Linked DNA regions of Ovis aries. The protein of the gene in region 1 interacts with the protein of each later gene in a biochemical or structural test. Links are inferred from orthologs where the notes say so. Each region holds a gene or a part of one and is shown in the gene's direction. Other genes may lie near its edges. The genes, in order: MAPK3, PTPN7, GAB2, ELK1 and MBP.

The links.
Region 2: the proteins of MAPK3 (region 1) and PTPN7 form a complex in vitro, tested with the Homo sapiens proteins (3 studies listed by BioGRID, with this or other methods). The link is inferred for Ovis aries from reciprocal best matches to the Homo sapiens genes MAPK3 and PTPN7.
Region 3: of the proteins of MAPK3 (region 1) and GAB2, one has a biochemical effect on the other in vitro, tested with the Homo sapiens proteins (2 studies listed by BioGRID). The link is inferred for Ovis aries from reciprocal best matches to the Homo sapiens genes MAPK3 and GAB2.
Region 4: of the proteins of MAPK3 (region 1) and ELK1, one has a biochemical effect on the other in vitro, tested with the Homo sapiens proteins (6 studies listed by BioGRID and IntAct, with this or other methods). The link is inferred for Ovis aries from reciprocal best matches to the Homo sapiens genes MAPK3 and ELK1.
Region 5: of the proteins of MAPK3 (region 1) and MBP, one has a biochemical effect on the other in vitro, tested with the Homo sapiens proteins (5 studies listed by BioGRID). The link is inferred for Ovis aries from reciprocal best matches to the Homo sapiens genes MAPK3 and MBP.

Annotation. Positions count from the first base shown.
Region 1 is NC_056077.1:26,690,731-26,697,046, forward strand, and holds the start of MAPK3 (mitogen-activated protein kinase 3), read left to right. Parts: upstream 1-2,493; 5' UTR 2,494-2,515; coding exon 2,516-2,688; intron 2,689-3,715; coding exon 3,716-3,898; intron 3,899-5,733; coding exon 5,734-5,923; intron 5,924-6,085; coding exon 6,086-6,202; intron 6,203-6,316.
Region 2 is NC_056065.1:79,808,773-79,815,020, forward strand, and holds the start of PTPN7 (tyrosine-protein phosphatase non-receptor type 7), read left to right. Parts: upstream 1-2,485; 5' UTR 2,486-2,540; intron 2,541-3,192; exon of another isoform or gene 3,193-3,218; 5' UTR 3,219-3,367; coding exon 3,368-3,504; intron 3,505-3,902; coding exon 3,903-4,086; intron 4,087-4,335; coding exon 4,336-4,420; intron 4,421-5,502; coding exon 5,503-5,579; intron 5,580-6,248. UniProt on the Homo sapiens protein: Protein phosphatase that acts preferentially on tyrosine-phosphorylated MAPK1. Plays a role in the regulation of T and B-lymphocyte development and signal transduction.
Region 3 is NC_056074.1:15,344,141-15,349,852, forward strand, and holds part of GAB2 (GRB2-associated-binding protein 2), read left to right. Parts: intron 1-3,327; coding exon 3,328-3,628; intron 3,629-5,712. UniProt on the Homo sapiens protein: Adapter protein which acts downstream of several membrane receptors including cytokine, antigen, hormone, cell matrix and growth factor receptors to regulate multiple signaling pathways.
Region 4 is NC_056080.1:57,189,736-57,195,117, forward strand, and holds the end of ELK1 (ETS domain-containing protein Elk-1), read left to right. Parts: intron 1-69; coding exon 70-513; intron 514-1,167; coding exon 1,168-1,635; intron 1,636-2,580; coding exon 2,581-2,682; intron 2,683-2,766; coding exon 2,767-2,865; 3' UTR 2,866-4,169; downstream 4,170-5,382. UniProt on the Homo sapiens protein: Transcription factor that binds to purine-rich DNA sequences. Forms a ternary complex with SRF and the ETS and SRF motifs of the serum response element (SRE) on the promoter region of immediate early genes such as FOS and IER2.
Region 5 is NC_056076.1:2,416,880-2,423,386, forward strand, and holds the start of MBP (myelin basic protein), read left to right. Parts: upstream 1-2,527; 5' UTR 2,528-2,542; coding exon 2,543-2,732; intron 2,733-6,507. UniProt on the Homo sapiens protein: The classic group of MBP isoforms (isoform 4-isoform 14) are with PLP the most abundant protein components of the myelin membrane in the CNS. They have a role in both its formation and stabilization.

The DNA of each region.
Region 1 (6,316 bases):
TGGCAGGCACCCCTCCGGATACACCAGCCTTTCCCATGCCGGGAAACTCACTCCTACTCAGGAAACCTGGCTCCATGCTGAACTCCATGGTGTTTTCTCTGAGTCACTATATTCTCCTGTAGTTGCAAAATGATCTGGCAAAAGTCCCTGAAAGGCTTTTTGCTGCTTACTGAGTAACATCCAAACTCCTTGCCAGAATCAGAGGCCTTCCTCAATGTGGCCCCAACCTACCTCTCCAGCCTAAACTCCCCTTAACCCTTCATAGTGCAGACATACTGGACAACTCGTGCTCCTGCCTCCGCGCCATGGTTCACCCTGCTCCTTCTTCTTGAAGCCTTTGCTCTATCCTGACCTGAAACTCTGCTTCTTTTTAGCGATGCAATGCTACCTGCTCGGTTATCCCCTCCTCACTTCTGTAGAGCAGCAGTCCCCAACCTCTTTGGGACCAGGGACCAGTTCCATGGAAGACAGTTCTTCCATGAACAAAGGGTAGGGAATGGTTTCATGATAATTCTCATAAGGAATGTGCAACCTAGATTCCTTGCATGCATAGGTCATAGTAGGGTTCACGCTCCAATCAGAATCTAATGTTACCCCTGGTGTGACAGGAGGTGGAGCTCAGGCAGTAACATGAGCCATGGGGAGTCGCTGGAAATACAAATGAAGCTTTGCTCCTTGCTAGCCTGCCACTCACTCCTGCTGCGCAACCAGATTCCTAACAGTTGCGGGAGATCCCTAGAGTGATCTTGCCCACCCCTGAGCGTACCCTACATATTACACCCATCCATTCTGGATTACAGTGATTTCTGTTTGTGCATCTTCAGTGGAAGAGAAACTCCATAAGTAGAAAGGCCAGTGGGGTAATGTGCCCAGGATAACATGACAAGTGGCCTAAATGGGATTCTAATCCAGGCAACCTGATTCCAGAGAGCTCTTGCTCTTAACTACTAATTCACACTATCCAGTAATCTTTTATCAGCCCTAGTTCCTAGCTCAGAGCTTTGCACACAGTGCCAGTCAATAGCTTATCAAATGAATAACACCACCAACAAAAAAACCCATTGATCTAATTAGCACATCTTGAACCTTCACTGACTTGTGGGTTCCTGGGAACTAGCAACTCTCAGTGTTACTAATCTGAATTAGAATGCCTGACCATAGATCTAATTATGAGCAATTTCAGAATCATAATTTCTGTTCCATTTTGTCTCTTGATCTTTAGTGCATACAAGGACATACTCCCAGCTTCCAAGGAAGACAAAAACAACGTGATTACTTCCTGAAGCCTAGGAGATGTGTTTTGTGAAGCTCCCAGCTCACATCTTCACTGTGAAGTGGAGATGGATTGGATGGTCTCTTCAGTTTAACAGTCTGGGAGACAGAATGCAATTAAAAAGAACTTCTGCCTGTGTGTCAGAAGATACATGTTAGTCTCAGCTCCTCAACTCTCAGATTTCCCATTCTGTAAAACTTTGATTCACCTATTCCAAAATTTTTGAGTGTCTACATTTGACTGTAGGGATGGGGGTGGGTGGGGGCTACAGCAATGAACAAGACAGACATGGCCCTCTGCTCATCCAGCTCAGAAAACCAGATGACACCTACACTGTGGGGTGGTTCTAATGAAGAAATTAAAGTGGACCAAATGCTGTGTAAACTATGAAGTCTAGCACAGGAGCAAAAGATGATGATCTCGGTTCCAATTTTTGTCAAATCCAAGGACAACAAAAATGTTAGCTATCCTGCTGTTTCTGAGTAAAGCCTGAGAGTGTATTTTTCACCAAACCCAGTCCACGCAGCCCTCACCTCTTCCCTATGCCTCCATGTAAAGGTAGGCTGGGATTATCTGTCCTCAGGATACAGGCACTGCCAGGTTGCTGAGGTCCGGTCCCTAGCCCACTTTGACAGGTCTCCATTCGAAAACCATTAGGCAGGGAGTCAAGATGCCTGGGCTTTCCAGCAATCAAGTTACCTTGCCCAGTCACCTTCAGTTTCCACATCTGTGAAAGAGGCCCCATGTGTGAGGAAGCCACCTGTCACGGCTACTATGAAATAAGCATCATATCACTCGGCATCGGGCCTGGCTCCAGGAGGTTCCACCTCGAGCCCCGGGCTACTCCTCGGGCCGAGTGGGCACAGCGGGGCCACGTGGCCCGGTCTGGGTCCCAGCTCCAGCACTCATTTGCTAGGTGGCTCTGGGTGAGGTCACCGGGCCGCCCTACCGGTCAGCATTCGGTGGCGGGGGTGGGGGGGGAGGGTCTGGACAGTCTCGAGACTGCCCTGGGGAGCTTCTACGTTGACTGGAGCAGACGAGGCCGACAGGTGCCAGGGACCACAGCCCCAGCAGCGGGAAAACGGCGCGCGCGCGGCGGGGAGAGTCACGTGACGCCGCGGGGGCGGACGGGGGCGGGGCCTGGCGCGCGCGGCTCCGCGGGTGAGAGGGCGGGCGGGAAGGGGCGGGGCCTCGGGCGGGGCCGCCGGGGGGAGGCGGGCGGGCGGGAGGGGAGGAGTGGAGATGGCGGCGGCGGCGGCGGCTCAGGGGGGCGGGGGCGGGGAGCCCCGGGGAACTGATGGGGTCGGCCCGGGGGTCCCGGGGGAGGTGGAGATAGTAAAGGGGCAGCCGTTCGACGTGGGCCCGCGCTACACGCAGCTGCAGTACATCGGCGAGGGCGCGTACGGCATGGTCAGGTGAGGGGCGTTCTGGGGGAGGGGGCGTCTCTGGGGAGGGGGCGGAGAGGGGTGCTGAGAGCTCTCTGGGCCTTGCGGACTCTGAGCATCCTGAAGAAGCCGGGGCTTCAGGAGGCTGGGGAGCGTCCCAGGCGGAGGGCCTTTGAGTGCTTTCTGGGGGAGGGGGTCACTGCGTAAGGTCTCAGGAGAGGAGGTTTGGGAGCTTTGAACTGACTATTCAATAATGAAGGGTAGGGCATCAGAGTGTATGTGGGGGAGCTCTGGGGACCTTGGGGACCCCATAATCACGGGGTGAGGAGAAGAGAATTAGTCTTCTTGGGGAGGTGATATCCTTAGTGAAGAAGGAGAGAGGGTCCCCTCACTGGGGAGAGGATGTCTTGGATCACCCCCCAGTGAGGCTTGCCAAGGAGTTTGGGAAAAAAGAGCAAAGCTCAGGGCTGGGTGGGGTGGGGTGGGGCTTTGGGCCTGGGGCCAGGGACCCAGTGAGCCATGAGGGGTCCAGGAACACCTTCCTGCAACTTTTAGGAGGGGTCTGTGAGTTCTCCTATCCGCACTGGGTGCTCTGGGCCTTTGTTCAGCTGGACATAGCTCTGCTGCCCAGGAACCTCCCCCTGACACCCGCCCCGGCCCTGCCTCTCCCTTCTCTCCAGTCCCTCCTCCGACTCCCTCCTTCTCACTGTATTTGCCTCATTGTCCAGTCCTCCACATCTCCCACCCCCTGGACCCGTCTTGGCTTGAGAGAGCCCATCGTGGGAAGGGGAGGATGAGGGGTCAGGGCAGCTCGAATGGAAAGGGTTGAGGAGAGGGGAAGTCAGTGAGCGGTCAGTCTCTTCCTCTGTTTGTGAAGTCACCGAAGGGCTGGCTGGCTGGTCCCCAGCTTTCTCCCTGGAGATCCCAGGCCTTCACAGCAGGAAGGAACTAGCATTGTTTATGACTGGCCAGAGCCCTCTCCTGCTCCCTCCCCGCCCTGCCAAGGCCTGGGTGGGGCCACCGGGCCTGGACACCAACATCTCTCTGGCCCTCTCAGCTCAGCTTACGACCACGTGCGCAAGACTCGAGTGGCCATCAAGAAGATCAGCCCCTTTGAGCATCAGACCTACTGCCAGCGCACGTTGCGAGAGATTCAGATTCTGCTGCGCTTCCGCCATGAGAATGTCATTGGCATCCGAGACATTCTGCGAGCACCCACCCTGGAAGCCATGAGGGATGTGTATCCTTCACCTGGGCCAGACGGCTGGCCAGGCCCAGCCTCAGAGCCGGGCTGGGAGAACAGGGGCTTGTTTTCTCTTCCCTTCTTCCCAACCTCCCTCCAAACAAACCCAGTAAAGGAAACTTTCCAGCGGTCAAGAGGCCACAGTGTAAGAAGGCAGAGAGGCCTCAGATGAATCCTGGCCTGCTGCGGCCAGGCAGTGTGGCCTTGGGCAAGTCTGTTCTCTCGATCTTGGCTTCGTAGGGGGCTGGGCAAGATGAGCCCTGTGGAAGCTTTGTCCTCTGACATCGGCAATTCTGTGAGGAGATCCAGCCTCTGCCCACAGTCAGCTCTTCTGTTTAACTGATGGCAGTTCTTGTTTCTCTGGGTCCTCAGACTGGCAGGAAGGCAGGCGGGAAGAACACTGCCCTGTTTTGAGGGCCTACTGTGAGTCTGGTGCAGCTCAAGCCGAGTGCTTTGACATTTCCTATTCTAACTCCCAACTGCCCTAGGAGATGGGTCTCAGCAGCTCCATTTCAAAGATGAGGAAACTGAGGCTCAGAAAACTGAAATAAAATCAAGTGCTTCTGTGGCTGCCTCTTCCCCTCCCCCAGACAAGAACCTGTCCCCTCTCTGGGACTTCCTGCTCAGAGTCCCACCCCAGTCACCTGTGGACTCGTACCTTGCCCAGGGAGGAACAGACCTGCCTTTGTGGCCCCCCCGACCCACACACACACATTGCTTTCCTAGTTTGTGGGTCCACTTCCTGCCTGGCTCTGTTAGGAGCTTTTACACTCATCACCTCTCCCCTACCCCACCCACCCCCACCATCCCAGTCCTTCCCCCAAGAGTGGTGATCTGTACTGCACTGTTTGCAGCCCCCACCACAAACTGTGGGCAGGAAACTTCCACACTCACCCTCAGCTTGTCGTGTGACCTTAACCAAGTCACTGCAGCATGCCGGGCCTCTTCATCTTTAAAATAGCAGGGTTGGTCCAGGTGTTCTCGGAAGGCCCTTTTGAGGCTGACTCTGAAAGACAGCCATAACTGAGTCTTCCAGAAACAACCCACATGACGTTTATTTGTTTGTTTATGTTTAATTCTTTTTTTATCTTAGAGTATAAAAGGACATTTACTCCTCTGTCTTCGGGTGTAGGGCCAAGCCCCCGGAGTAGGAGCGTGCCGCTGGGAAGTTTCTCCTCATTCGTCTTGCACAAACCATCCCCATAAGGCAGGCATTTATTTTTAAGCAAACATTTATTGCCTGCCAGATGGTGTTCATACATAATCTCATTTAACCTTCTCAACAGCCATGTGGCTCAGTCTTTTATAACAGCAATACTAGTTCACATTTGCCGAACATTTACAACGTGCCAGGCACCAAGCTGGCTGCACTGCCTGGGTCATCTCTCAACTAATCTTTACCACCACTCTCTAAAAAGGATTTTTTTTCCCCTTTACAGATGAGGAAGAGAGGCGCAGACAGGGCTTGAGTTCCTAAAGTGAATGAATGACCAGTGCAGGAATGATTGACAGTGGCAGGTGAACTCCAGAGTTACTGCTCTTAGCTGGGACGTTCTCCTGCTTCCCAGTTTATTATCCCCATTTTCTCAATAGGGAGACTGAGGCTACAGAACTGCGACGCTTTGCTCAGGGTCACCAGCTGAGATCCAGCAGAGGCCTTGAGTTCACCTGCTAAGTGTGGGCCTTGCCCAGCTCATGATATGAGCTGGCAGATCTGTTGAGTCCCAGGGGCATCAGCTGGAGGGATGTGAAACCTGGTCAGCAGAGTCTGTTCTTCTTAACCAACTGCCTCCCACTGCCCCCACCTGGGGGGCCTCTGGCACCCACCTCAGCTACATCGTGCAGGATCTGATGGAGACAGACCTGTACAAATTGCTCAAAAGCCAGCAGCTGAGCAACGACCATGTATGCTACTTCCTGTACCAGATCCTGCGGGGCCTGAAGTATATCCACTCCGCCAACGTGCTCCACCGGGATTTAAAGCCCTCCAACCTGCTCATCAACACCACCTGCGACCTTAAGGTCTGAGGGTTGCGTGCCTGTCTCCTTCTGCCCCTGGGGTCTCAGGCTTCAGGGTGACCAGTAGTCCCCTTCCTGCCATGGGTAGGAGAGACATGGGTGATAGGATTGGTTGGGCCCAGGAGGCCTTGAGCACTGAGCTCAGCAGCCTGGTTTGCATTCTAGATCTGTGATTTCGGTCTTGCCCGGATTGCTGATCCCGAGCATGACCACACTGGCTTCTTGACGGAATACGTGGCCACACGCTGGTACCGGGCCCCAGAGATCATGCTTAACTCCAAGGTAGGGGGCCCACCCACCCGTGAAGGGAAGAGACCGGATCCCAGAAAGCCCTGGAGCCACCTCTGAGTCCAGCACTGACCCTCATGATGCAGGAAGTGTCCCTTCTGGGCCTTG
Region 2 (6,248 bases), on another chromosome or scaffold:
TGGAGCCCCAGGGGTCCTCCGGAGCCTGCCTTACCGTCCTTCTGGGGAGAACCGGCTGGACGCAGAGGCAGGCGGCGGGCAGTCTGGGCGTGGTGGCTCCCTGGCTCGAGTGCCAACGGTCTCTCCCCTGCTGCGTCCCGGCGTCCATCCTCCAGGCCCGCCCCTTCACGCCCACCGCGGCAGCCTGGCCTTGAGCACCCCCACGCCCGGAAGATAGTCTCCCGGAGGAGAAGGGCCGGAGGCTCTGGATGGCCCAGCCTCCCACACCCTGGGACCTCTCCAGCTCTCTGTGTCTCTGTCTCCCCCACACAGCCAGGGACACGAAGCCTGCTGGCCCAGGGTCTGGAGGGGTGTGGGGGGCACCTGGGATCAGGGCTTCTCCTCTCAGAGGAGCAAAGAGGATAGGACGGGCCGGGGCAGCCGGGCCCCCACAGTGGGCCAGTCCTGAGACTGCCTCGGGGGCTCTATCAGGGCCCGCCTTTGACCCCAGGGCAGGCAGGTGCTGCAGGAACCGGAAATTCCCAATACACCAGTACAACACGCAATACTCAAGACCCTGGGGCTCCCAGCCCTGGACCTGGGGAGCGGCTGGAGGAAGGGTGCGGGGCTCTGCTGAGCTGCGGCTCGGAGACCTCAGCCCCATCACCCCTTCCTGGGGCCACTGGACGGCTCCGAGCACCCCTGGGCCCGCCCTCTGACCGATGAGGGAGGGGCGCTCCTCGGCCCCTGGGGAGAGGGCTCCTGAGAAGCAGGGAGGAGCAGGGACCCCCGTCTCAGCAGGGCTCAGGAGGGGCTTCCTGGCTTCCTGTGCCCCCCACCCAGCTCTGACGCACATTGGCAGGAGGAGTGAGTGGCCTGAGAGCTGCCGTCGGGGCAGGTCCACGCCAGGAGCAGGGAAGGCTCAGGACGGGAGTCACTCCCGCAGCCTCCAGGCCTTTGCCTGCACCCCGCAGCCTGGATGGGCAGAGTCCACCCCGGACGGGGCCCAGGCCAGGCCGGGGGATGTTGAAGGACCCTGTCTTCTCTGAGGCTTCTGCTGGCACCCGGCCCCCCCCAGCTGTGTCTGCACCTCCAGCGAAGTCCAGGCATCTCTTAAGCAGAAAGGGACATGGGGTGAGCAGGAGGCAAGGTGAGTGTCGCCCCCAAACACGGCCAAAGGGACTGAGCCGTGCTTGGGGCCTGACCTGGCGCCAACCATTGCCCACCCCGCCCCCGCCCACTTGCTGCACCTCTGGGCCCCCAGCTCTCCAGCCAAAACCTCTGCCTGCAGCCCCTCAAACCCTGAGGGGAGGGGCGCTCACAGCCCGCAGGCTCAGACCTTGGGGGCCTGGGGGCACTGGCGGTGTAGTGCGGGACACACATCCCCGCCTCCTCCCCCCACTCCTGCGGTATCCTAGCTTCCTGTTTGTGATAAGAATCAGCAGCCTGCCCCAGAGAGGGTGGCCCTCTTTCCAACCCCCTCCTGCCCCCTTTCCTTTCCCAGGCCCCCCGCTACCCACTAGTGGAAATACGGGTGGGTTTCCGGCCGGCTGAGCTGGAGGCCACGCCCCCCGATCTGCCAGGGTCCCCAGACTCCTGCCCCATGCCCTCCACCTGGGCGTCCCCGGCCTGGCCCCTGAGCACCAGAGGGCCACCCTGCCCTGCCTGAAGGCAGCCCCCCACCTCCTGCATGCCACCCCAGGCCTGTCCCCAGCGCTTTCTGCTGTCACCTTCTGAAGGCTGAGTCAGGGAAGTGGGTGGTGGGGTGAGGACAGGATTGTGGGCCCCGGAGGGGAGGGGCAGGTGTCGGGGATGTCAAGAAGCCCACCAGGTGAGCCAGGGGCAGGGCAGTGGGGTCTTGGGGTTTCCCCTACCCAGGGCCCAGGCTCCCAGCGCCCCAGCAGCAAAGCAGACATGGGGGTCCCCTTGTGTGAGAGCCAGAGGCCCACCCTCTGTGGGTCGCTGAGTAGAAGTCAGGGTTCTGGAAAAAGGCCTGTGGGGCTGGGGGCAGGGGGAAGCCCCCAGACCCTGCCACGAGGTGTCTCCACTGCCTACCTCCAGAGTGGCTGACCTGGCTCAGACCCGCTCGGAGCTGGGGGCCTGAGGTTGACCCTGTGGCTTGGCCTGAGCCTTTCCCTTCATGGAGAGAGACTCCTGCCCCCCTTCCCCATCCCCGTGTGTGCCTGCTTCTCCCTGTTCCTGCTGGGATTCCCGCAGCTTGAAGGGGCAAGGGCTTCCGGGGGGCAGCCTGGGGTGGGGGTCGGCCCCGCTTCCCCCAGCAAGCAGGCAGAGGCAAGAGGCGACCAGAGCCCGGAGGAGAAGCCCTGCAGGGGAGGCAGTGGTCAGGGCCGGGCTGTGGCCAAGGTGTGGACAGGCTGGGCCGCGGGGTCAGAGGCGGGAGGCCACTGGCCCGCTGGTGGCAATAGGCAGCTGGGTGTGCGTGGGTGGCAGCGAGGAGGGGCGGGGGGAGGAAGCGGGCTTCCTGAGGCCTCCCCAGCCCTGAGACACACCGACAGACAGGCAGACAGCTGGCGAGAGGCGCCTGGGGACACAGCCGCCTCGTAAGCACCTGCGGGGCGGGGAGGAGCCCTGGGGCCCCGGGTTGAGGGACACGGAGGGCCGGGAGGGCGGCCCCGGGAGGGCAAGCAGGAGGGCGCCCAGGGGGTCCCGCGCCAGGTGGGCAGGGGCGCCGCCGCCGCTGATGGCCCCAAGGGCGCGCGGGCATGGCGGGGCGGGGAGGGCAGACAGGCGTCCTGCTGTGACCGCCCTTGCCCACTCAGACCCCATGGGTGCGGCGACCCCAGCACCCCTCTCAGCTCCAAGCCGGGCCCTGGCCTGGAGGTGGGCCGTGCCCTCGGTGAGGCACCCGGCTTGTGCCCCCAGCTGTGGCTCGGTGAGGCCACTTCCTGTGACAGTTACTGCGGCGGGCGGGGGATGGGCGGGAGGAAGCCAGCACCCCCAGGCCCCCTCCCGGGCCGGAGACCCCAGAGGCCGGGACGACCCTGGGTGGAAGGGCCGGCTGCCCTAAGCACACCGGAGGTCCACCTTCTTGTCCAGAGGAGGCCCCTGCAAAGCCAGGGTCGTGAGCCCACCCTCCACCCAGAACGGCTGCACGCCGCCCACCCCCCAGCCCCTGCCCCTCCGGATTCCTCCGGATCTGTCCTATCTCGGCCCCCGTCGTGACCCTTTATCTCGCCCCCGCGCTAACCCCAGGCGGCCGCCACTCTACGCCCCTGCAGAGATCCTGGCCTTCCCACAGAGCGACGCCGCCACTTCCTGGGGAACAACGGAAGAGCGAGAAGACCCGAGGTGCCCAAGGGCAGAAGGCCACCCAACAGCCCAGAGGCCAGGCCACATGGCCGTGTGAGCTCCCGGGCGCGCCCCCAGCATGGTCCCGGCCCGGGGGCTGCTCCAGAGCGCCGCCCCGGCCTCCCCGTCGCCTTCACAGTCGCCTTCGGAGGCAGCCATGACCCAGCCTCCGCCTGACCAGGCCCCAGCCAGGAAGCACGTCCGGCTGCAGGAGAGGTGAGACCCTCTCAGGAAGGCCTGGCCGAGCCCGCTGCCCCCCGCTGCCCCTGCGGCGGGACCCCCGCGCCTCCCCAGGCGGAGGAAACCAAACTGCTCATTTGCATATCTGTGTCAGCTTTGCGCCTGCGCCCCAAGCCCCAGGCTGGGTTGAGCACCCCTCGAGGGGCCCGGAGCCTCCAGGCCTGGGTGTGGGCCTGAGCTTTAGGGGCCGAGCCAGGAATGGGAAGTGGGGGCATCTGGAGGCGGCAGCTGGGTTTGGAGCCTCCTCACTGGCCAACAAGGGGCAGGGGTGCCGGGGGCCTGGGCCTCGGGGTGGCGAGGAGACAGGGAGCCCGCCGTCAGCGGTGCCGGGACAGCCGTGGCTGCTGAGGCCGACCACGCTGTCCCTGCTGCAGGCGCGGCTCCAACGTGGCCCTGATGCTGGATGTGCGGTCCCTGGGGGCCGTGGAGCCCATCTGCTCCGTGCGCACGCCCCAGGAGGTCACGCTGCACTTCCTGCGCTCCGCCGGACGCCCCCTCAGCCGGCAGGCCCTGCAGCACCGGCCGCCCAGCCCCACGCAGCTGGAAGAGGAATTCCTGGTGAGAACGAGGGCCCCCCGAGTCACTGCCCCTCTGGATCAGGAGCAGCTGGCAGGCCTGTCCCCGTGGGCCCTTGGGAGACAGAACCCCAGGGGCTCCAGGAAGGAGACGGCTCCACCCTCTCCCTGCACCCCATCCAGACCTGCCTCCCGATGCCAGGAGGGAACGGGGCCCCTCCACCAGAGGAGTGAGGGAAGGGAGGCCGGGAAGGGGGCTGCTGCTCACACACCTACTCCCCGCCCCCGCCAGAGGATCCCCTCAAACTTCGTTAGCCCCGAAGACCTGAATATTCCTGGCCATGCCTCCAAGGACCGATATAAGACCATCTTGCCAAGTAAGGACTGCGGTGGGGCCGGGGTGGAGGCGCTCAGAGGGCAAGACGCAGCCCCAGCCAGGAGGGGGCTGCCCCGCGTGGGGCCTCTTCTTCTGACAGAGGGGTGCCCCCGCCTGGCCCTGGCCAGGGAAGGGGGGCAGAAATCACGCCAGCCTGAGACTAGGCCCGGACCATGGGCCAGCACTGCTCAGCGCGGCCCCGGGTAGGCGGTGTGTGCTGCCCTGACCCCCGTTTTACAGATGAGGAAACCGAGTTACAGAGAAGCCGCGTAGCTCACCTGAGGTCACATAGTCAGGCGCACCAACCCCCTTCCTCCTGTTCCTCCTGCCTGGGAAACGGCCCGCACTGTCTGCAGGGGACAAGCCCCGTTTGGACGGCTCCCAAGAGATGCTGAGGATCTCAGACAGAGCAGGAGGCGGCAGGCAGGGTTCATGGGGCTGACAGACCCGGGTCAGCACCTCCTGTATTTGGAGGCACGCATGGGGCCCGCTGACCACGAGGCCCGCTGACCACGAGGTCTCCTCCCTGCTCCGCGAAGAGCAGCCTTATCTGACCAGCAGCCCCCAGTCTGGAGGCCGCAGCCCGCTGCTAGCCTGTTAGTGCCCACGGAAGGGATGGGGGCAGCCTGCTCTGGGCCCCGAGGTGCCCTCCACCCAGACCAGCTGGCCCCTGGGAGCCAGCGTCTTCATCGGGCCCGGACTGGAGCTGAAGAAAGGCCCCCTTAGAGGCTGACTCAAGGGGTCAGGCGGGTGTGGGATGGAGCCTGAGTTCCAGTGGGGTCGCTCAGGAAAAGCTCTTCCTCGAACATCTCTCTCCGTTTTTATTGCTGTGACCCCTCTCCGCCCCTCTCTGACCCTCAGGCTGGAATGCTCAGTAGCTGCCCCCTGCCGCCGGTCCGTCCTGCTGGCACCGCCCGAGGCCTCCCCGCACTGCCCTGGCCTCAGGCCTCTGCTGCTCAGGAACGCTCTGCGACCCCCTGCTCTTCGAGGGCGCCTCAACAGGCATAGGGCTGTCCTCTCGCCGGCCCTGGATGTGGCTGCTTTGCTGGTCGCTCTTTGACCTCTGCTGGTTTTCCCTTCTAGACCCCCAGAGCCGAGTCTGTCTGGGTCGGGCAGAGAGCCAGGAGGACGGGGATTACATCAACGCCAACTACATTCGGGTGAGTTCCTGGCTGGGAAGGGGGTGCTGTGTCCAGAGCCACCCCCGCCCCAGGACACCACCCAGCCCAGCGGAGCCCCTGGTGTCCTGGCTCCAACCCCGTAAGCTGCTGGAACGGGCCAGGATGCACGCAGCAGACGTCAGGAGCTGGAAGGAAGACCCCAGTCCCCTTTGCCCCTGGTCCTCCACACCTGCCAGCCTCTCCGTGGAGAGCTGCCCTGGCCACTCCAGCCCAAGACTCCCAGGTCCGCAGCCCAGTGAGGCGTTCGGCCAGCTCCCTCCCCTCTGCCTTCGCTACTCCAGGCGGCCCCTCCTTCTCGGAGGCAGCTTAAGTCAAGGAATTAAGGAACCAGAGGCCGGGAGGCCAGGTGGACTCCACGCCTAGACTTGTCCCCAGTGCCCAGTGCCCAGCCTCCGGCCTGCAGGGTGGGAGGCGGCAGGCGCAGACGCGAGCCCTCCGTGGCTCTGAGTGGGTGGGACACCGGCCGGGAGCGGAGGTGAATAGCCCGCATCAGCCACCTGATGCGGAGAAACTGACTCTTTTGAAAAGACCCCGATGCTGGGCAACACTGGAGGCGGGAGGGGCAGGGGACGACGGAGGGTGAGGTGGCTGGATGGCGTGGCCAACTCGATGGACAGGAGTCTGAGTAGACTCCAGGGGTTGGGAATG
Region 3 (5,712 bases), on another chromosome or scaffold:
TGGGACATTTAAATAGTGACTTGATGGAGTACATAAGCAATGGGAATATGTGGCGAAGGAGTGTTCCAGGCAGAGGGAACAGCCAGAGCAGAGACCCTGAGGCAGGAGTGTGTGGCCAGCGTGGCTCAAGCAGAATGGGCGCGGCAGAGAGGGGCAGGGCTGAGGGGAGAGCTGTGGGTGAGGCGGTGTCGCCCAGTGCTCACTGGCCACTGCGGGGACTTCAGCTTCTGCTCTGAGTGCAGTGGAAAGCCAGAGGGCACTTAATGCAGAGAAGTGCTATGCTCTGATTGACACCAGCTTCCACGCTGGGAACAGATTGCCAGATGGAAGCATGGAAGCAGGCAGGCGGCCGAACGGTGGACCTGACCAAGTGCGTAACAGTGGAGGTGTGGAGGAGTGACCGGGTTGTAAATGTGTTTTGAAACTGTTTGGACCAACAGGATTTGCTCTTGGGTTTGGAAGTTGATGACTGACATCCAGATTTTTGGCCTGAGCAGCTGGAAGGTTGGAGCTGCTCGTAACTGAGATGGGAAACATTGCGGGAAGAACAGACTCGGAGGATGGGAAGAGCTCGGTTTAAAGGAAGTTTGTGATGCCAGGGCTTCCCAGATGGCTCAGTGGTTAAGAATCTGCCTTGCAAAGCAGGGAGCGCGGGTTCGAGCCTTGGTTAGGTAGCTACGATCCCATGTGCCGTGGAGCAGCCCAGCCTGAGCGGTGTTGCCCCTGAGCCCTCGCGCACAACTAGAGAGTCCATGCATCTTGATGAAAGATGCCATGTGACACAGCAAAGCTTCCTCATGCCCCAGCTAAGACCTGATGCAGCCAGACAAATAAAATATGTTTTTAAAGAAAGATTTGAGATGCCTATTAGTGAGGAGCAGGTATGAGACTCTGGAGTTCTATAGATGGGTTTGGGCTGGAGCTATAAATTTGCGAATTACAGCAGTTAGATGACTTTTAAAGCTGTGAAATGAAATAAAATAACCTAAGAAGAGGATATAGAAAGAGGAGAGTCTAAGAACTGAGCATGGGGGCGTTCTAGCCTTTAGAAGTCAGTGAGACAAGGAGCAACCAGAACTGGAAGCTGAAAAAGAGAAGCTGGGAGGTAGGAAAATTGAGAGTGAGCACTGAAGCCAAATGAGGAAAATGCTTCAAAGAGAATGGAATAGTAAACTTTCTCAGATGTTGCTGAGAGATCAAGTAAAATCCAAATGTTGCTTTGTGTTGAAGTCTTTAAGACCTCTGTTGAAGGAGATGGGGGTTGGGGGCAGCCTGCTTGTATTGCTTCCAAGAAAAGAATGGGAGGAGAGGAAACAACGATTAACACTGTAGAAATCTCTGAGGTTTTTCTGTAAAGAGGAGCAGAAAACTGGGCCATAGTTGGAAGGGAATGTGGGATCAAGTCAAACTTTTCTTTTTTTTTTTTTCTGAGATGGGACAAGTTGGTGTCCTGATGGGAATGATCCTAGGAGGGAGGGAAGATGCCATGTGCTGTCCCCATGTCGTGAGAGGGGGTGATGCTCTGGCGGAAGAAAGTGGGCCTTAGACTGGATGAACCATCCATGCTGCACAGTAATAAACTGCTTTGCTATAATGCAGGCAGACTGGTAAATACGGGGATGGAACATGTGTAGATTCTCTTCTGCTTGCCTGTATAGTCTCATACCAAAGAGTGGAGGTGCTACAGCTTTAAATAGGGCAAGGTTCAGATGATTGCCAAGAGCAACAGAAAATCAGGGACCAGACAAATGTAGTAGACTGTTGGAGCAGGAGGGCTCACTTGAGCTTAAAGTGAGAGGAGCCAGCGTGGTTGTGTGATTTTCTCCAGCTCTGAACAGCTGAGTGGAAACAGGCAGAGTAGGCTAAGCATTAGACTTAGTCAAAGGTTATGGTTTCCTAGATAAAGAGAGGAAGAGAAGCAAGAGAATGATTATAATGATGGATCACAGGAACAAGGCAGGTGGAAGGAAGTGAGGATGGAGACAGAAGGGGAGAGTGCAAGGTGCCAGGATTCATGGAGTGAAGTCCCAGTGAGGTCTAAATAACCGCGATGATCCTTGGCATCAGTGGCGCTTTAGGACAGAGGAGCTGGAAGGCTGCAGTCCATGGGGTCGCTGAGGGTCAGACATGACTGAGTGGCTTCACTTTCACTTTTCGCTTTCATGCATTGGAGAAGAAAAAGGCAACCTACTCCAGTGTTCTTGCCTGGAGAATCCCGGGGACGGCGGAGCCTGGTGGGCTGCCGTCTGAAGAAAAAGGCAACCTACTCCAGTGTTCTTGCCTGGAGAATCCTGGGAACGGCGGAGCCTGGTGGGCTGCCGTCTATGGGGTCGCACAGAGTCGGACAGGACTGAAGCAACTTAGCAGCAGGGTTGCATCATAGTGCTTTGTGTGCAGTATAAACCCTATAAGGTAGGTAGGACAGTTGGTGATGGTATTCTATTCTGTAGATAAAGCAAGCTCCAAAGAGGTAAATAACTTTATGTGAAAATCACACAGCTAGTCGGTGGTGAAGCACAGACTCCACCCGAGGCTCTGTTTTATTTGTGATATCTTTTTACCACTTTGTGTGATGTCTGCTCACAGATTACTCGGTCTCATTGAAGACAGGGAATGTAGACAACATAAGGAAATGTGTAACTGAGTGTTAAATTCTATAATATGGCATGACATAAGGAGTTTATTCATTCAGTAATGTATATTGAGTGCTTATTATGTACAGGGCTGTATTATAAATACTAGGGATATAGTATTATCCACTATATATAGTGACTGAGATGGGGGAAATTCTGAAGTTTTGTGCTTCAGGGAGGTTTTAGAAGGGTTTCTGTGTGGTTCCTCCAAGGCATCATGATTGGGTAAAAAGCACCAGGTACTGAAAGCTTGGAAACTTTTTTCTCCGCTACTTGCTGTATGTGACGTTGTGGCTTCAACTCAGTCTGTCTTAGTGGGGGACCCCATCCGTAAACTGAGATGTTATGGCTTTGCAAGTTCCACCCTGACTAAAAGTCCTGTGAGTTTGAGGCTGTATTCTAGCTTAATGGAATAATTGTGTAAAGTGTGTTAGTCCTCATCTGACTTCTTGAAATGACGTATCTCGTTTCATAGTGATAAGACCCTGTTTCAGTAATGAAATGCTGCACTAATGTGTATGCTAAAGTCATCCGCTGTTTTTTAAACTCTGGGAAAGCACAAAAAGGAGACAGAGGCCACGCTCGGCTGGCAGGTGCAGCAGTCCCCACCCTTAGCCTGGTGATATCTGAGGACCTGTGAAAAGCTTTGAATTGACTCATGACTTTCCCCCTGCTCTCACTCCTTCCCGTTCAGGCCTGGAAGAAACGCTGGTTTATCCTGCGGAGCGGCCGGATGAGTGGTGACCCCGACGTCCTGGAATACTACAAGAATGATCACTCCAAGAAGCCCCTGCGCATCATCAACCTGAACTTCTGCGAGCAGGTGGATGCAGGCCTGACCTTCAACAAGAAGGAGCTGCAGGACAGTTTCGTGTTCGACATCAAGACCAGCGAGCGCACCTTCTACCTGGTGGCCGAGACGGAGGAGGACATGAATAAGTGGGTCCAGAGCATCTGCCAGATCTGCGGCTTCAACCAGGCAGAAGAGAGCACAGGTACGAGACGCTTCTCAGCAGGGACCAGGTGCCTCCTGGCAGTGGCTGGGCCCCTGGGGCCAAGGGGACGGCCTTCAGACTCCTTGAACAGCAGGGCAGGCTTTAGCTAAAGGCTGTCCTCTGAGGTGGGGGAGAAGTAGGCAGAGGGGAGGAGTCTGAAGGGCTTGGCCACAGGGTGGAGGTCCTCCTAGCCCTGAGTCTGCTCATGTGGAAAGCAGGCATGTTGGGGTTATGATGAAGCTCGAGGTGCTGCTGGTATTTCTTCAGGTACCTCCGCGCCACCCCGTGTCTCAGGCCTGCCCTTTCTCCCCTCAGCTCTCCAGCTCTCTGTGCCTGGTTAACCTGTCACCCACACACGGGCGGCTTGCACCTTGCTCTCTTCTTTGATGCATCCTCTGTCCACTCCTGTTTCAGAACAACGTGCATAGTTACACTAGCCGCTTTTCTGGTAAGGGGAGGTGTGGGATTCTTTGTGAGTACTGTTGATGCACAATCCACTGTTCTTTATATTTCCCTGGAAACGGACACATGAGAAGGGGGAGATTCTGACTTGTGTTCAGATTTTGTTAGCCTTCACAGAAAGAGTAGCTCACCATTTTTAAGTGAGGCTTCAGCTGCAGAAATGCTCTTTGCCATTTGTTTGGGCTCATCCACAACTCTAGGATGATTGAGGAGTAGGGTTCTTTTTGTGTGTGTGGCAGATGGAAAGCCTAAGTTAGTAGTTTCCTAAACCTGGTTACATATCAGAATTAAAGAGGAACATTTTTTAAATGTTGATGCTAGGGATCCATATCACATCAGTTAGCTAAGAATGTCAGGGGTGGGACCTAGGCATCAGTCTTTTAAAAGCTTCACACCAAGTGGCAAGGGTCTGGGGCTCAGCATCCATTTTCTGTAAATAATTGAAGGCCACATACAATCTCTGATTCCTATACCTGTTTTGTAAACTTCTTAGAACCCTTTAAAAACATGAAAACTGTTTCTAGCTCATCAGCAACGTCAGCCTCATCTGGGAACCCATTAGAAATGAAGATTCTTAAGCCCCACCCCAGACTTAGTGAATCAGAAACTCTGGAGGTGTTTTAACCAGCCCGCCAGGTAATCTGATGCATGGTTAAGTTTGAGAACCACTGATTCAGACTCTTACTATCAGAGTGGAGTTTATGGACGAGCAGCATCAACCTCTCCTGGGAACTTGTTACGAAGACAGAAGACTTCTACTCACTCAGACTTACAGGATCAGAATCTGCATATTTTTTTCAGTTTCTTATTCTGAAATAATGTTGAGCTTACAGAAGAGGTGCAGAAATTGTACAGCAAGTTCCCATGTACCTTTCATCCAGCTTTCCCTAACCTTAACATCTTTCTTAACCAGAGTATACTTGTCAAAATGTTGATTGGTACAAGACAGTCAGTTGCAGTGTATTGGGATTTCACTTGTTTTCCACCAGTGTCTTTATTCTGTTCAGGATTCAGTCCAGGATAGCATATTAGATTTGGTGGTTCTGCCTCTAGGGCCTCCAATCTGGGATGCCAGTTTCTTAGTCTCTTGTTTTTCTTTGACCTTGACACTTTTAAGGCATACTGGCTAGATATTTTGTAGAATCTCCCTCAGTTTGAATTTGTATGATGTTTTTTCATGATCAGATTAAGGTTTGGCGGAGACTACCACAGAGGTAGTGTGCTTTTCTCTGCACGTTGTATCAGGAGACACATGGTATCAATATACCTTATTACTGGTCGTGTTGCCTTCATCACTTGGTTAAGATGGCATCTGACACCTTCTTCCCCTGTAAAGCTGCTACCTATGCTTTCACAGTTAATAAATATTTTGCAGGAAGTACTTTAATGGTGTGCAAATACCCCATTTCTGCTTAAAATTTTGCCCACTAATTTTAGCATTGATCAGTGAATCACGTTTGTAACCGTTATTACCATGGTATCCTAAGGAAATTTTCTATCTCCCTCTGAATTGTATTAAGATACTTACGTGATTTGTAGGCACATTGAAATTTGAGAAGCTCTGGTCTGGATTATTTGTTCACAAACCTGGTGGGTCATCAGAATCACCCTAAAAACTTTCA
Region 4 (5,382 bases), on another chromosome or scaffold:
CTCCTCACCGTCCACTCTCTCTAGCCCTTTCTTCTAAGACACTCTATCCTGTCTCTTCCCCCTTACCAGAATATCATCCGCAAAGTGAGCGGCCAGAAGTTTGTCTACAAGTTTGTGTCCTACCCTGAGGTCGCAGGGTGCTCCACTGAGGACTGCCCGCCTCAGCCTGAGGTGTCTGTCACCTCCACTCTGGCAAATGCAGGCGCCACAGCTGTACACGCCATCCCCGGGGACACTGCCTCTGGGAAGCCAGGCACACTCAAGGGTGCAGGAATGGCAGGCCCAGGTGGCTTGGCGCGCAGCAGCCGAAATGATTACATGCGCTCAGGCCTCTATTCCACCTTCACCATCCAGTCCCTGCAGCCACAACCGCCCTCTCACCCTCGACCTTCCACAGTGCTCCCCAACACCGGCCCTGCAGGAGTAGCAGTGCCTCCCTCGGGGAGCAGGAGCACCAGTCCAAACCCCTTGGAGGCCTGCCTGGAAGCTGAGGAGGCTGGCCTGCCTCTGCAGGTAAGGACTGGAATATGGAATTTCAGCAAGAGGAGGGATGTACAGTTCCCAAATGAAGAGAGGGACTGGGAAGAGGAGGGACATAATGTCCTGTTAAAGATGATATAATGGAAGGAGAGACACAGAAGTCCCCTTGGAGAAAGAGATGGGGAGGAAAACTATTCAAAACCCTGGGAAGGAAGAAGGAAATTGAGTGCACTACAATTAGCAGTACACCCAATATGTAGTAGGTGCCCTTGAATGTATTTGCTTAATGCACTGGCTCTCACACTTTTAGCACTCATCAGAAAGCACTTAGAGGGCTTTTAAAGACAGACGTGCTGAGGGACACCCCGAGAGTTTTTCTTTATGTGAGTCTGAGGATGGGCCCAAGAGTCTACATTTTTAACAAATTTCCAGATGAGGTGTATGCTGCTGGTCCATAAAGCAAATTTTTGAGAACCACTGCTTTTATACATGGGGGCAGTATTTCCTGGAGTCCCACCCCTGAAGGCAACCCAGATAAGAGGACCAGAAGCCCCATTTTCTTGGCAAAGTACCACATCTTGTTAAAGGACCTGCCCCTATTCTCAGGTCCCACTTTCCATGGGAAATAACTGGCTTCACTACCCCAGGAATCCTTAGGCATCCCTTCTGCACTCGTTCCTCTCCCAGGTCATCCTGACCCCACCCGAGGCCCCAAACCTTAAATCCGAAGAGCCAAACATGGAGCCTGGGTTGGGCCGGCCACTGCCCCCAGAAGTCAAAGTGGAAGAGCCCAAGGAAGAGTTAGAAGCTGCAGCCAGTGGGGAGGCGGGGTTTGTGCTGGAAGCCGTCAAGGCCGAGCCCTTTGAGCCCAAAGTCGACCCAGAAGTCCCTCCAGCAGAGGGCGTGCCAGCCCGGCTGTCCGCTGTCGTAATGGAAACTGCGGCGCAGGTGGGCGGCCTCACGGCTTCTACAACACCCAGCGCGGAGATTGCCCAGCCTCAGAAGGGCCGGAAGCCCCGGGACCTGGAGCTTCCACTCAGCCCGAGCCTGCTGGGTGGACCAGGACCCGAACGGACTCCGGGATCGGGAACTGGTTCAGGTCTACAGGCGCCAGGTCCAGCGCTGACGCCTTCCCTGCTACCTACGCACACATTGGTGAGCACTTTTGAAGGGGCGGGGCTGGCACCTGGAACAAATGGGATTGGGGCGGGGTGGCGCGGGGTGGGGGAGGGAGACTTACCGCGAAGGCCAATGCGATTACCTCGGAAAGAGTGAGAGGGTGGAGCCTTCGAGTGGGATTGGCTGCGTGGAGGGACAGGCGTGATTGCTACTGGATGGAGGAGTCTGCAATGCCAAGGATCAGGTGTCCAAAGAAGGGCGGTTCTGGGGAGTTTTGTGGGCAGGGACCAAGAGGCTTTCTGCAGGAACTGTTTCTGGGTTGAGGCATGGCTTGAGGAACCTGAGTGGGGTTTTTGGGGTCTGAGATTTTCTCAGCGGGTTTCCTGTGAGGTTATGCAGGTCTGCGGAGAAGGCACTGGCACCCCACTCCAGCACTCTTGCCTGAAAAATCCCATGGACGGAGGAGCCTGGAAGGCTGCAGTCCATGGGGTTGCTGAGGGTCGGACACGACTGAATGACTTCACTTTCACTTTTCACTTTCATGCATTGGAGAAGGAAATGGCAACCCACTCCAGTATTCTTGCCTGGAGAATCCCAGGGACGGGGGAGCCTGGTAGGCTGCCGTCTATGGGGTCGCACAGAGTCGGACACGACTGAAGTGACTTAGCAGTAGCAGCATGCAGGTCAGGGATAAGAGTTGGAAGTTGATCCTGAGCTACTGGGATTGTGAGGTTTGAAAACAGCGGGTGGGCTCTTGGAGGTGGTCTTGCCTGGGGTGGGCCCTCTGGAGTTAGAGTTGTCTGTGTGAAGTCAGAGCTGTCACAGACATGGCCTCAGTAGTTATGGTCTAGGCCTGTGCACTTTTGAGGAGTGATCTTGGAAGTATGAGTGGGAAATCAGGTGGGGCCAGAACCAAGTTCCTTTGGTTTTCCCACAGCTGCCCTCTTGCTCACTTGTGCTCTGACCATCCCTTCCCCACAGACCCCGGTGCTGCTGACGCCCAGCTCGCTGCCCCCCAGCATTCACTTCTGGAGCACCCTGAGTCCCATTGCACCCCGTAGCCCGGCCAAGCTCTCCTTCCAGGTAGGATCAGCTCCCCGATCTCAGAAAGTGTGAGTGACCCTAGCACGGTCCCCATCCATGACCTCTCCCTATTTCTGTCCTCAGTTTCCGTCCAGTGGCAGCGCGCAGGTGCACATCCCTTCCATCAGCGTGGATGGCCTCTCAACCCCCGTGGTGCTCTCCCCAGGGCCCCAGAAGCCATGACTATCACCACCACCACCACAACCACCACCACCCCTTTCTGGGGTTACTCCTTCCATGCCCTGAACTTCTCTCCAGCCAGCTGTCTCAAGGAGAAACATAGTTCAGCTGACAGACTCGTGCTCCAGTTGTGGTTGGGTAGGGATTCTTAGGAAGAAGAATCTCTCAATAACCCTTCCACAAAAAAAAACATACAACTTCTCTCTTCTTGATCAGTCCCCCAGTGGCCGCTCTTATACGTCTCCTACTGCAGTGGTGGGGACGGTTTATTTATTTATTTTTTGAAGGCCACTGGGAGGAGCCTGGCCCAACTCTTTTGGAGGGGGTGGCAAGGGCATCTCCCCCGTGTTCCACATTTTTTCCCCAAGATGAGACAATCGGGGTCTGGCTTGAGACAGGCCTTTCTTTATTTATTTCTCAGCCTGCCCTTGGGGAGCTGAGGGAGCCCTGTCTTCACTTTGGGGTATGGGTAGAAGAGCTAGCTTGTTGTAGTTTATTATTCCTGGCCTTCCCCAAGGGTCCAGGAAGAATTTGTGCCATTTAATGGTTTGGGAGTCTTGGCCAAGGAAGACTCACACCCTTGGAGATGGGAATTTCCACCTCCCCAGCCTTTCTCTCAGATAGGTTGTCCTTTCTCAACCACCTTTTCGGCCAGGGAGGAATGCCCCTTTTGTTCTTCTCCCCCCTGAGAAGCCATTCCTGTGTCTGCCAAACTCCTGGGGTCCTGCCTGTTACCTCCCAATGGAGGGATTTTGGGGGAGTGGTCCCCGTCTGGGGGGCCCCTTCAGCCAGTACTCCAGGTCTCCCTGTCCCCCACCCCCTGCCATTTTGATAGTATAATCTATTTTTAAACAGGGCTTTTCAATAAGGGAGAGGGAGGTATCTCTTCCTATATCTGAGATGGGGTGGGTGGGAAGGAAGGGATTTGGGGGATCTCCCTGCCACCCCCAAGTGTTTATTTTTGATACCAAATGTGTATTTTCAACTCCCTCCCAGTCCCCCAATTTTCCTGCGGGCGGGTACAAAGGACCCTTTATGTGTCCCTGGAGTTGGGAGGGAGGAACAAGGGACATAAAGCCTGCTCAATCTGAATTCCAGGCTGGAGGAGGGTGGGTTCAGAGGACTCCTGGGTTCACCTCCCATCAGCACCGTCCCAGCCCGGGCCTAGGGACCTGGGTCTTGGTGATTTGGGGGACGGTGCTACACCTGTCTCCACTGTTTGTTTTACTTCCTCCCAAATGGATTTTTTTTCTAAGAGTCCCAGAGAATGGGGAATTGTTCCTGTAAATATATATTTTTAAAGGTGATGCTGAAGGCTGGTAGCATTTTTTTCCCTGAAGCCGTTGGGAATAACTGTGTGCAAAGGCACAACTTTGTGTGAAAGGCCATAAGGGTGTGAGATTGATCATGGGAGAGAGAGCATGATGGTGTGTGTCAGAAAGAGTAAAGACTACAGATTGGTAACCAGGTGTGTGAAAAAGAGAAAACTCTGGCAAGCTGTGATTGCACATGTACATTTGTGAAGTCATGTATTGAGAGAGTAGAAGTTGTAACCACAAACTTGACATTGTGTCTATGTGAGAAATTGTGGCTGGGTGGTAAAAAAACACAAAGACTGAATGAGTGGTTAAGATACTATGCCAGAAACTGGTGCTTTGTGTGAAACAATGTTTACGAGAAGGAAGTGGGGACTGCTCATCAGTCACTGTTGGACAAGCTGATGGTGAGCAAGAGAGAGTAACCAAAACAACATGTGAGAGCCTGTATAGGCCTGAAAGTGCAGTGGAGATTGTCAGGGACAGTGCATAGGTGAGAAACTTCATTGTAAGTAGGCAGGTGACTCAGTGTTTAGGAGATGGGTTGTGTGTGAAACCGTTCATGCAAGGCTGTTGGATCAACTAAAGTAATGAGAGCGTGTGTGTGAGAGGTTGATTGTATGAGAGAAAATAGCTATGAGGCCAGATGGGTGCCTGAGATTTAAGATACCAGAATGCGTGATTGTATGTATGAAAACTTTCTGTGAGATTAAACACTAGCAAAGACTGCATGAGAAACAGAAAAAGTGGCTGCAGCTGAGAGAGTGTGAGAGGCTGTAATGTGTGTGTACGTGTGCATGTGTGTGTGTGTGTGTGTGTGTTCCTGAGCCTAGTGGCATATGGATGCAGTTACTACTCCAATCTAGCCAACAGGTTCAGGGACCATGGAGGTATAAGAGAAGATGATGGTGAGACAGAGTGAGTGGAAGTGTGCTAGAGACCACTTCACTGTGAGTGAGAAGCGAGGAGTAAAAGAAGGAAGTCAGCGCCACATGAGAGAAAACTGATGACTGAGCAGTGTGTGAGAGTGGAACATTTCATATAGTAAACCAGAGATTACATGCTGGTGAAAAACAGAAAATGAAGCTGAGCAAATGAGACACTGAGAGACTGTGCGGTCAGTTTGTGCAAGAAATCGGGGAGGCTCTATTTGTGTTTGAATGTACAGGATACTCTGGCTGGATGGTGTAAACAACTAAGATGA
Region 5 (6,507 bases), on another chromosome or scaffold:
AAAAATATGCTGAATCCAGAATATCCTTCTGTAGCTCAAGAGTGAATGGGTCTTACGGAAAGCAGTTTGCTTTTATTTTTATTAATAAAATTAAGCTATTCTTAAAGAAAAATGCTAGATACATATGTATATATACACACACTTTTTGTATAAATACAAAAGCAACAAATTGATGGTAGAAAAAGGCATGAAAGATGTTTTTTGTTTGTTTTTTCCCACACAACGAAAGTTGTACAAATCTCCTTGCCTTTTTATTTCTTGGATAAAAAGAAGTGACAGGTGGCTTGTGTGTGTGTATGTGCGCGCATGTGGTCAAGAGATCTCTCTCAAATGTTTTCCTTGTTTACATAACTTTTTCTGTTACACGTTATGGAATTCATGCACCTAATTTTCTGGCACTCACATCTACAGTGGAGTCTGTTCGGTTATTAACTGGAATTTATGGCAGAACCATCAAGCCTCAATAGTGTACAAGTAGACTATCTGCTTTGTGGGTATCGCCAGCAACTATTCATCACAAACCAGAGATGAAAGTGATTCTAGGTCTAAGCAAAAATATAATTCCAAAGATACATCCGTTGATGAAGGGATTTTTTAACTCATGCAGTCTGGTCTCCTGGACATTATTTAGATTAATTTCCTGACTTCCTTCAGTTTGGGTAATTTGGAGATTTAACTGGACTGAATAAAAATGTACTGAGTGTGTACCATGCAGGAAACTTCGTGCTCCTGCTCCAACATGAAATGCGGAAGGCTCCTTCCTCTCATCATATGAAGAGCAGTGGGGGATAGGGGGAGTGGTCGTATACCTTGCTCAGAAATATCAGAGACAATGAGGTTTGGATAGTTTATCTTTTACCTGTCAAAAGACCCATTTCAACTTTATTGAAATTAGTAACATAAACCTCTGTCACCGTGCTCACAGACGCAAGACCATCTTCATGTGAAGTGTGACCCCACAGCCCCAAGGGGAAGCGGCCCCCTCTGCCTCCTTCACGCTGGTTCCTCCCACCAGCACGAGGGGCCCGCCAAACACCCATTCATCACTTTATCGTGTTCCTTGCTCCCTCGTGTACACTGTCCTTGAAGTTCCCATGAATCAGGGGGCATTACATCCCCCAGTACATGCATGGTGGGATTTTATAAACACTGTAAGGACCATGTTAACTGGAACTTGGCAGGACTGCCGTTTGCAGAGATGGCTGCTGGCATCGGTGACGTTTCTACAAGCAGGCAGCAGGGCAAACATTGCTGCTCCCCTGTGGCCTGGGCTCCCCAGTGTTCAGCCCTCACTGACCTGTGCAGGTCAGAAGGCCATCCTCCTGTTTCCTGGTCACTCCAGGAAGACATCTGGGGGAAGCAGATGAGATGTGGTTTGTGATGCTCAAGTGAAAGTCGCTCAGTCATGTCCAGCTCTTTGCAGCCCCATGGACTGTAGCCCAGCCAGGTTCCTCTGTCCGTGGGATTTCCCAGGCAAGAATACTGGAGTGGGTTGCCATTCCCTTCTCCAGGGGATCTTCCAGATACAGGGATCGAACTGGGGTCTCCTGCATTGCAGGTGGATTCTTCACTATCTGAGCCACCTAAAACTGACTTCCATGTGGAACCTAGTATATATGGGGGTGGGGGGTGGGTTGCATTTTAAGAGTGACTGGAGTCAGGGACCTGGGAGTCAGGGAGCTTCTGGGGTCTGTCAGTGCCCTGAGCGTCCTTGGATTCCTCCAGCTCCCCTACCGGCACCCAGCCACCCTCTACTGCAAGGAGGGAAGGCCCCACAGAAAACCGGGAAACAGGTAAACTTCACCTTCTGCACAGCCCGCGTCACTGCTCAGCTGTCTTCCTGACCTCCCATCTCCAACTCCAGAAACCCCCAGACGAATCTTTTCCGAGGAAAGAAGCAAATGTTTCTGCAATGGTGGACACCGTTCTGGTGGCATTACCAGCCCTGGAACGTGGTTCACAGACCCCCGGTTTGTGAGGGCTGGCTGGGACAGGTGGCCCTGAAGCCACACTGGGCGCTGGCTCTCCTCGCGCGCTCTGCCCGCCCAGGAGACCCGGGTTGAGCCTTGCCAGGGGTCAGACTTCCGCTCCCCCGGGGAAACAGTGAGGGTCCCCGCCGGCTCCCGGGAACTATCAGATCAGACCCCCGACCTGGAATCTAAGTCGTGAGGACTCCAGCGTCTCCCCCAACGCCTCCTATTTTTCCACCATCAGGAGGTCGAGAATCCGGGGTGGGGGTCGGGGGAAGGGCCATCTGACTGTGTGCAGGTGACTGACGTCCAAAGGACAGTCTTCCTTCGGACCAAGAACTCGACACTGACCGCAAGCCAACAGATGCTCAGGCCGCAGACCCCGGGGCGCGCCCTCCCGCTGTGGCGCCGCTCTCCGGCGAGCACCTGTCTGTAGGCTGGATGCACGAGGACCTCCGGGCGTTCTCAAGGGGCCAGTCTTGCGGCGGCCCTGAACCCCGAGCCCGCGCAGCAGAGTCAGCCGGGCGGCCGCGCTTGGCCCCTCGCCGCCCGCGGAACGGGGCGTGGAGCAGATGCTATCGCTGGTCCCTCCCCGCGCTCGGGCGGGGTGGTTCGCAGGCTCAGCCGCGAGCGGAGGCTCTAGAGCCGCAGTTCAGCCCGGGCCGGAGTCCGCGCCGCCCAGGGCAGCCCCGCGCGGGGCCCGCGTGCGCCCGGAGCCCGCGAGGCGGAGCCGCGGAGAGGCGGTCGGCGCGCGGGCGGCAGGTGGGAGGCCCGGCTCCCGAAGGCAGTGTTTACCTGGCTCGCAGGAAGCCCGGGAGGCGGGGGAGGAGCGGCGGGCGCGCCGGGCCCTCGGAGCTGCAGCCAGACTGCGCCGCCGCGCCAGCGAGGACGAGCCTGCGGCCCCGGCGACCGCGGCCGCGACCCCGAAGGCGGCGCCGGAGCCCCGGGACCCCGCGCGCTTGGGGCCCCGGCGGCGGGAGGCGGCCCGGACCCCGCGGCGCCCGCGGCCTGGAGAGACGATCGCCGCGCGGTGGGTGACCTCGCCGGGGGCGGGCGGGTGCCTTTGTCTGCGCCCTCGGAGCGGGGACGCGGGAACGGGGCGCAGGGCTTCCCCGGGCGGCCGCGCAGGTGGCGGCAGGTGGCACCCGGGCGGCCACTCTGCGAGGGGTGAGCGCGGGTGTAGACGCCGACCCGGAGCGGCGGGGCTGTCCCCGACGGGTGTCCAGGTGTGGGCAAGGCCGGGTCGGGGGCCGGGGTCGCGGGCAGAGCGTAGGAGGCGCTCGGGGTGGAGTTTTGGGTGGGAGGTGGCAAAGGTCAAGGAGGCCACCCTGGGCGGTGCGGGACCGCTGCGAGCTTCAGGGCAGGCCGGGGTACCCGCCGCTTAACGCGCCCCGTAAGGATACGTCTGGAGCTTACCGCCGACTCCTGCCTGCCCCCTCCCCCAGCCCGGGCGAAAACCAGTTTCCCTTTGAACGCCGAGGGCGGCGACAGGCGACGCTCCGGGCTTCCGCCTTCCGGAGGCCTGGCCTGGCTCCGCCGCGCCGCCGCGTCCACCTGCGCCCACCTGCGCGCCTGGCGCCCGGGTGTGAAGCCCCCCCTGGGCCCGGGACTGGCCGGCGTCCCGAGGGTGCCGCGTGCTCTGCACGATCCCCAGGCACCCGGTGGCTCTGGCTCCTCTGGACTGCTGGGGGCACTGCCTCGTTTCTCCCAGGCTCTCCTTTCTCCTCTCCTTTCGGAAGGCAGAGGGTGGGGTTGGAGAAGCCTTGGAGTTTCTCTGGGGATCTCAGTAGGACTCTGGCAGGAAACAAGCGCCTTTGGGTTTCTGGTTCTCTGTTTTCCAGTAGCGACAAGGTGAGGGAGTCCATACCGTGAGTTCACAACCTCTGCAGCGCGGCTGGAGTGTGTCTGGGGAGACCCAGACCCGGTTGGGGGCGCTGGCTGTTCTGACAGGGACTCCACACCTGGCCTGGAGAGATTCTCAGAGGAAGGGCGCTTTAGGGTGTGTCCCATTTAAGACATGTGGCTTTTGGACAAGACCCCCCAGCCCAGGGAAACGGTTTGCAGAGTATGGCCCAGGAGTCTGCGACACCCCGAGAGCTGGGCTCAGTCCTGCCCCCGGCTCCCTGGCAGAGTCACGCTGGAGTGCTGGGGGCCTTCGTGGACGTGGGGAGCTGAGAGGGGTGCAGACCCAGACGGAGCTAGGCCGGAGCAGCCCTTCAGGAAGGGATGGTCAGCACTGGGTCGCAGCCTCACAGCTGTTTCTCCCAGTTCAGGGGAGGGGCCGTCTGTTCTCCAACTTTTTTTTTTTTTTCCAAATGGGATAAACCAAAACCTGAAAGGAGGGAATCCAGTTAAATATTATGTAAAATGGTGGCTGATAGTAGCTCCCAATGGTTTAACTGTTCCGAAATGACTACCTTTACTAACTCAGGGTTAAACAAAAGCTATTTGGTTCAAATTCACTTTAAAAACTTTCCAAACTATCCCATTTCTGCCCAAAGACAAGAACACTTTTGAGTCACTTGTGCTGTGATTTGGTGTTGAACCGCTCCAGCCTGGTTTGGACTGGGAATGGCTCTGGCCACTTGCCCTGAGGAAAGGCATCCATGAAGGCGGAAAAGGGCAGAGACCAAGGTTTCTGGCGATTCTTCCTTTTTCCTCCTGAATTTTTAAACATTAATGGGAGGTTACGTTGTTTGACTTTTAGTTTCTCTCTCGAGTCTTTAAAAATCTGACACTGGATCACAGCTGTCCCTGGGCCTTTTCTCCCCAGGTATCCAGGTAGCGTTTCTGACCACTTCCCAGTGGCCAGGCCATCTTCTGAGAGCTGCGTATCATTGCATTAACAGGTGTAATACCCTAGGATGCCCTCATTTGATGTAACTAGCCTATTAGAACTCTCATTTTCACTGAGTAGGAAACCAAGGCACAGAGATCCCCTGGGGGCGCCCAGGGCTCAGTTCCAGAAATCTGACACCAGCCCCTGTTGCTGCCCTTCAGGGCGAAGAGGGCAACTTGCAACACCCACCGAGCTGCCTTTTTCTTCTCTGGCTTCCCTGGTGGCTCAGAGGTTAAAGCCCCTGCCTGCAGTGCGGGAGACCTGGGTTTGATCCCTGGATTGGGAAGATTCCCTGGAGAAGGAAATGGCAATCCACTCCAGCATTGTTGCCTGGAGAATTCCTTGGATGGAGGAGCCTGGTGGGCGATAGTCCACGGGGTCGCAGAGAGTCGGACACAACTGAGCTTCATTTCACTTCTGTTTAAAACCCCACCACTAACGGGTGGCTACACCCAGCAAAGCGTGCTTCCTCTGCAGGGTGGTGGGACTGGAAGGCTGCTGTCTCGTCTCTGTTCGTCACCTCTTCCCTAACTTCCTCAGCAAAGATATCAATAAAGAGGGAAAGACAGTTCTCTAATGCCTCAGCACGGTTTTTAGTAAGTCATCACAAGCAGTGAATCACTTCCACTGGTCCTTTAGAGCCACTGAAGGAAGCTTAAATCAGCCTGAGCTTGCGGGCCCCAGGAGGTGGGTTTAATCAACAGTAAGTGTACAGTAATTTAACCAACAGTAATTATAATGATGCTGAAGCTCCAGTATTTGGGTCATCTGATGAGAAGAGCTGACTCATTGTAAGAGACCCTGATGCTGGGAAAGACTGAGGGTAGGAGGAGAAGGGGACCACAGAAGATGAGATGGCTGGATGGAACCATTGACTTAATGGACAGGAGTTTGAGCAAGCTCCAGGAGATGGTGAAGGACAGGGAAGCCTGGTGTGCTGCAGTCCATGGGGTTGCAAAGAGTCTGACACGACTGAGCCACCGCAAAACAGCAGCAGTTATACGTGGGGAGGCCCTGCTGGTCCAACGTCCTCCTAAATGCGTGGCCTCAGGCTTCAGCCACAGAAGCAGAACCAGCAGAGACACACACGCATGACTTAACGTGAGGAACCGGGGCCAGAGAGGCCTGCAGGCCTCAGGCCGGAGCTCTCGGGCACAAGCTGAAGCTGCCTCCAGAGAAAGAGCCAACCTCACGTTACAGCCGGGAAAAGATAACCAGTAATGCATATTATGAAGCTCTTAGCAGTGTCTGAGAGTCAATAACTGTTAAAAATTCATAAATATGGATCAGAACTCTGAGCATCACTGAGTAAGTGTGAGGCTCTATTATAATAATAATAAAAAAGATGGATGCCCGGAGAGTGAGGATAGACAGACTCGGGTGAAGTATCTGGAATGTACCAAACATTCTAAGACTCAGCAAAATAAACCACCCAAGAGGAGAAGTAACTGAGCAGGCTGGCCCAGAAGAGAAAGCCCAGGGGGGCTAGGAAAATGGGAAGGGATGTTTAACCCACCAGTTCTCAGAAGCAGAAATCACATCAATGGGATAATTTTTTATACCCATCTGTAAAGATCTTACCGTCTGTGCCAAGTATTGAGGAAGATAAGGAGAACTGAGAACTCCCATGGTGGTGAGTATAAATAAAAGCAGACACTTTAGACAAGAGCCCAGAAAAGCTGAAGACAGACGTTCCTG